Callithrix jacchus: one gene and its partner. The protein of the gene in region 1 interacts with the protein of each later gene in a biochemical or structural test. Links are inferred from orthologs where the notes say so. Each region holds a gene or a part of one and is shown in the gene's direction. Other genes may lie near its edges.

The links. The genes of interacting proteins can lie anywhere in the genome.
Region 2: of the proteins of RB1 (region 1) and CDK3, one has a biochemical effect on the other in vitro, tested with the Homo sapiens proteins (2 studies listed by BioGRID). The link is inferred for Callithrix jacchus from reciprocal best matches to the Homo sapiens genes RB1 and CDK3.

Annotation. Positions count from the first base shown.
Region 1 is NC_133502.1:67,484,664-67,488,321, reverse strand, and holds part of RB1 (retinoblastoma-associated protein), read left to right. Parts: intron 1-519; coding exon 520-624; intron 625-1,719; coding exon 1,720-1,833; intron 1,834-1,934; coding exon 1,935-2,098; intron 2,099-3,658. UniProt on the Homo sapiens protein: Tumor suppressor that is a key regulator of the G1/S transition of the cell cycle. The hypophosphorylated form binds transcription regulators of the E2F family, preventing transcription of E2F-responsive genes.
Region 2 is NC_133506.1:131,897,385-131,899,925, forward strand, and holds part of CDK3 (cyclin-dependent kinase 3), read left to right. Parts: intron 1-1,087; coding exon 1,088-1,291; intron 1,292-2,541. UniProt on the Homo sapiens protein: Serine/threonine-protein kinase that plays a critical role in the control of the eukaryotic cell cycle; involved in G0-G1 and G1-S cell cycle transitions. Interacts with CCNC/cyclin-C during interphase. Phosphorylates histone H1, ATF1, RB1 and CABLES1.

The DNA of each region.
Region 1 (3,658 bases):
AAAGGATACCTTCTAATGAAAATTCATCAACTAACTTAGTTATATAACCAACATCCAGATCAAGAAACAAAACATTGTCAACAACACATAAGACTCTCTTACATGCCCTTCCAGTCACCTTACCCTCACCACTACCACCAAGTATGTTCAATATTATCTGCTAGTTTGAAACATTTTAACACCTGGCTTTTTTAAGTGCTAGTTATGCAAAATTAACTGATTCTAGTTTCAACTTTTCTGGGAAACATTTAAGGGACAGGAGCCAAAGTTAGGGTAATTTACAAACCAGGTGATCAGTCCTAAATAATTGAGCCTTGGTCATTTGCATTTTGTTCTTTAAATACACTTTGGGTTAAACACTTCATGTAGAGTTTCAAATTGAGCTCAGTATGGAAAGAAATAACTATGTAGGAAATTAAACTTTTCTTTTTTGAGGCTAAAAGGAAGAAAACTATTTTTTTTTAGAGCAAAACCACATAATAAAATTCTGACTAGTTTTACATCATATTTATTTACTAGATTATGATGTGTTCCATGTATGGCATATGCAAAGTGAAGAATATAGACCTTAAATTCAAAATCATTGTAACAGCATACAAAGATCTTCCTCATGCTGTTCAGGAGGTAGGTGATTTTCCATAGTAAGTTTGATAAATCCATATCTGTAATAAAGATAATTTTATTCATTCACAGGCTCATATATTCTGATCTTATGTAAATTTACAAATAAAAATTTTTATATTATTTATTTGTAACTTAAATGCTTAAATGGAATTGGAAAGATAAGATAAATTATGAAATTATCCATATTCGTGGTTTTTTTATAAATTTAACAAGTAATGCTTTATCTGTGTAATAAGCAAGTATTTATAATAAACCTGGCATGAGTCATAGTACATTAGATGATCTTTTATTTTTATTACTTTATAGGAAAAGTCAGCATAAATGCAACCTTGCAAAGAAATAATAAATATGTTCAGTATAAACACATTTTGTATTTCTAAACACATTTACCTTCCCTTTAGAGAAACAGGAGTAGTAAAATATACTTGGTATGACACGTTTCATACGGTTCTGTGGAAAGTGAGTTGTGGGATATCTTTCCCATTTATTATTAGAGTTTTCAAAAGTAATACAAACCAAGTCATTTTTGTTTGTATGTTTGAAGTTATTTTAAATTCAATCATTTAAGTGTATAATGTGTCAGAGGCATTTGATATAACCTCTGTGTTTTTACCTAACTAAAATTTGAGTGAAATCTAACACTAAAATATAGTGCTTTTACTAAGTGTCTACTTCCTGCAATTGAGTAATGCTATTTAAACCCTTATAGAATGGGGCGATACAGGGAGGTACAGGCCAGAGGATATAGTCTAAATATTAATGGATAATGTCATTGGCTTTCACTTAGTTCTGGCCCTTTGATTCCCATAATGCTTTCCATTCTACCAGCCTGTCTACTCTCTCTTCTTGGATGGCCAGCTATTCCATCTGCTGCCTGGCTGTTTTTCTCAATAATCCTATGACATTTCGCTTCTAGTAGAGCATCTATAATTCAAACCTAAGAAGGCATTTTAGATTATTTTTTCCTGTATAATATGTGCTTCTTACCAGTCAAAAAGTTTTACAAACTTTTAGAAAAGAAAATCTAAAGGTAGAAATTTTAAAATTAATTTAACAAGTGAATTTTACTTTTTTTTTTTTACTCTTCTTCCTCAGACTTTCAAACGTGTTTTGATCAAAGAAGAGGAGTATGATTCTATTATAGTATTCTATAACTCAGTCTTCATGCAGAGACTGAAAACAAATATTTTGCAGTATGCTTCCACCAGGGTAAGTCAAAAGTATCCTTTGATTGGAAATATCTAATTATAAAGTAATGGGTCCCATTAAAACATTAAATAAATAATACTACTTTTTTGTTTTTGCTCTAGCCCCCTACCTTGTCACCAATACCTCACATTCCTCGAAGCCCTTATAAGTTTCCTAGTTCACCCTTACGGATTCCTGGAGGGAACATCTATATATCACCCCTGAAGAGTCCATATAAAATTTCAGAAGGTCTGCCAACACCAACAAAAATGACTCCAGGAACAAGGTGTGTGTATTTTCTCGTTAGAGAGGTAGTAAAGAATGAAAGGGGGATAATTTTGATCCAAGAATAAAAATACAACGCTTTCTTCATTTCAAATAAGCTAGACTCTTGAGTCTATTTGTTTATTTAAGTAACATAATGAGAATCTAGGGGGAAAGAAAATCTATTTACTTGGATGGGTTTACAAATTTAGTTATCAGATTTCCTGACTGCTAGGGGTATCTTCTTTTGTAAACAGTTTTTGAACCAGTTTGGTTATATGTTTCAAAACACTTTAATATTTTTGTAAGTAGTCAATCTGCTAAACAATGCAGGTTACTTTAGGTTGAGTACTTTTAGTTTGTAGTTTATTGGATGTCCTATAAATTTTGCTTCCTGTGGATTTTGTTCATTCTGCTGGTTATATTAAATGTAGATTACTGTCAATTAAGTCTTTAGAGGTCCATTCCTAATCCTGTTGGCAACCTCTTTACCACCTTACCTTGGGCAGGTCTCTATCTCTACTACACAAGGGTGCTGTGGATCAGCAAAATGATTAGTATGAAGCTGTTTTAAATTCTAAGATGAAAGGTTGTGTGCAACTATAAATCATTATATTATCTTCCCATCCAACCACAAGTGCTCTCTGGCTTTGAAGTGCTTCAGTTGACTAATTATATATTATCAGGGGCTATTTGAAACTGACTTTATTTGTGTAAAGTAGGAGGCAGATTAGCTAGTATAGTTAATGTAGTCTCATTTCAGAAATTGTCAGCCCATATGGTTGTCCCTCATGGACAAGAAAAGGGAGATATATTAGTCTTTTAGAAAATATTTGCATGGTATATTTAATTATTTAAGTAGTACATACTCATGGTAAAAATTGCAAACTCTACAGAAAAATATGAAGTAATAAATAACTGGCAATATGATACAAATGCTCTCATGTGCCTCTATATCATCCTTTATTTATTTGGTGTTCTTATAGTTGGATATCTGTGTACTGACTCCTTCTACTTGTTCCAAGCTGTTAAAATGCCACGTTATCTCTATATAAGAAAATTTACAGGCCGGGTGTGGTGGCTCACACCTGTAATCCAAGCACTTTGGAGGCCAAGGCGGGCGGATCACCTGAGGTTGTGAGTTCAAGACCAGTCTGACAAACATGGTGAAACCCCGTCTTTAAACAAAACAAAACAAAACAAACAAAACAAAAAAATTTATACAGTCCCATGCCACTGTATGAAAATGTATACTTAGGTAGTTTTTTAATAGTGATTATTAATCCATATTATGGTGATAATGATGGCTACTTCCTGATCCTTAGTGAAATCAATTGTGTTGTATTCTTTAGCAAAAAAGTCACATTCTGAACATTCTAACTAATAAATCATTGATCAGGCATTAGGAGAGCATTATATTTAGAATGATGACCACTTATCAAGGAATTGGAGGACAAAAAAAAACTTTATATGCACTAGTTCCATGTTCATGTTTTCAAATCTTTGTTGAGTCATGTCAAGCTAATGATGTTCTTCAGCTTTATTATCAAGAACATAACTTATATGGTTTAAATAAAGACAG
Region 2 (2,541 bases), on another chromosome or scaffold:
CATCTCTACTAAAAATACAAAAATTAGCTGGATATGGTACTGCATGCCTGTAATTCCAGCTACCAGGGAGGGAAGCTGAGGCAGGAGAGTTGCTTTGAACCCAGGAGGCGGAGGTTGCAGCGAGCTGAGAGCATGTCATTGCACTCCAGCCTGGGTGACAGAGCTAGACTCCGTCTCAAAAAAAAAATTTGCTTGGTGCAATGTCGTGCACCTGTAATCCCAGCTACTCAGGAGGCTGAGGCAGGAGAATTGCTTGAACTCAAGAGGCAAAGGTTACAATGAGCCGAGATTGTGCCACTGCACTCCAGCCTGGGTGACAGAGCAAGACTTTGTCTAAAAAAAAAAAAGAAAGTCTGGGCTTGTCCTGGGAAGTCTGGGGATGAAATAAAAGCAAGGAAAAAAATAAAAAATAAAAAGGCCAGGCACGGTGGCTCAAGCCTGTAATCCCAGCACTTTGGGAGGCCGAGGCGGGTGGATCACGAGGTCAAGAGATTGAGACCATCCTGGTCAACATGGTGAAACCCCGTCTCTATTAAAAATACAAAAAATTAGCTGGGCGTGGTGGTGCATGCCTGTAATCCCAGCTACTCAGGAGGCTGAAGCAGGAGAATTGCCTGAACCCAGGAGGCAGAGGTTGCGGTGAGCCGAGATCACGCCATTGCACGCCAACCTGGATAACAAGAGCGAAACTCCGTCTCAAAAAATAAATAAATAAATAAAAAGGAAAAAAAAAAATACAAGAATTAGCTGGGTGTGATGGTGCATGCTTGTAGTCCCAGCTACTCAGGAGGCTGAGGCAGGAGGATTGCTTGAGCCTGTGGTGGAGGCTGCAGTGAGTTGTGATTACACCACTGCACTCCAGCCTGGGCAACAGAGCAAGAATCTATCTCTATTTTTTAAAAAAGGTATTTGGTACTGGCTGAAGGACTGAGGAAGCCAGCTTTATTCCAAAAAAGGCCAGAATTCTATGCATAACCATGGGAAGGCTATCTTGACAGGCATCTCCCTGGGTCTGGCCACTTATCTCATAATAGATTCTGTATGACAAAGTGGCGGACCCCATACCTTCTCTTCTTCCCCATTCCAGGTGACTCGAAAAGTCCTGTTTCCTGGTGACTCTGAGATTGACCAGCTCTTTCGTATCTTTCGTATGCTGGGGACACCCAGTGAAGCCGTATGGCCCGGGGTCACCCAGCTGCCTGACTATAAGGGCAACTTCCCTAAGTGGACCAGGAAGGGGCTAGAAGAGATCGTGCCCAATCTGGAGTCAGAGGGCAAGGACCTGCTCATGGTAGGTGCACGTGGGCTCTGGCTGCTGCTCCAATAAGAGTTTCTCCTCATCAGCCGGCCTCTTACATAACCCTGGCACTTTCTCAGCCTGAGGCCAGGATTTCTTTCCTGATCCTGATACACAGTTGGCTCGTCCTTGTCCCTGAGTATACTGATTGTTTGACCTGGGAGCCTCCCCAACGATTAGGTGCAGTGTTTATCTTCCCTGTGGGAGCGGTGATCGCTGAGTTAGCTCTGTCTTTATGCCATGCTATTCGCCCTTTTCCCCGAATTGCCTTAAGTGTTTGCTATTCCTCTTTGCGGACGTTATTGCTCCATCTAAGCTGTATGCTTCCCCAGGCCAGGGCTATACCTTCTTTTCTAATTTTTTTTTTTTTGAGACAGAGTTTCCTTCTTATTACCCAGGCTGGAGTGCAATGGCATGATCTCAGCTCATTGCAACCTCCACCTCCTGGGTTCAAGCAATTCTCCTGCCTCAGCCTCCTGGGTGGCTGGGACTACAGGTGCCTGCCACCATGCCCAGCTAAATTTTTTTTTTTTTTTGAGACAGAGTTTCGCTCTTGTTACCCAGGCTGGAGTGCAATGGTGCAATCTCGGCTCACTGCAACCTCTGCCTCCTGGGTTCATGCAATTCTCCTGCCTCAGCCCCCTGAGTAGCTGGGATTACAGGCACATGCCACCATGCCCAGCTAATTTTTTATATTTTTAGTAGAGACGGGGTTTCACCATGTTGACCAGGATGGTGTCGATCTCTTGACCTCGTGATCCACCCGCCTCGGCCTCCCAAAGTGCTGGGATTACAGGCTTGAGCCACTGCGCCCGGCCTAAATTATTTTTTGAGGTAGAGACAGGGTTTCTACCTCAAAATATTGGCCAAGCTGGTCTTGAACTCCTGACCTCAGGTGATCTGCCCACCTCAGCCTCCCAGAGTGCTGGGATTACAGGGACGAGCCACTGTGCCCAGCTGGGGCCACACCTCCTACTGCCTGGGCGTTCCCCCTGTGACTCCTATGGTGGTCATTCTTCAGAACAGGCTGTTCCTTGCTGTGTGGGCCCATGCCATGGTCCTCACTCACCGCTCCTGTTGGTGCCTCAAGCTGGCCCAGGCTGGACAGCCCAGGAAGCATCTAGCAGAGCCGTCTGTTCTTTTTTTCTTTTTGAGACAGGGGGTCTCACTCAGTTACCAAGGCTGGAGTGCAGTCTTGATCTCCAAGCCACAAGCGATCTTCCTGTCTCAGCCTTCTTAGTAGC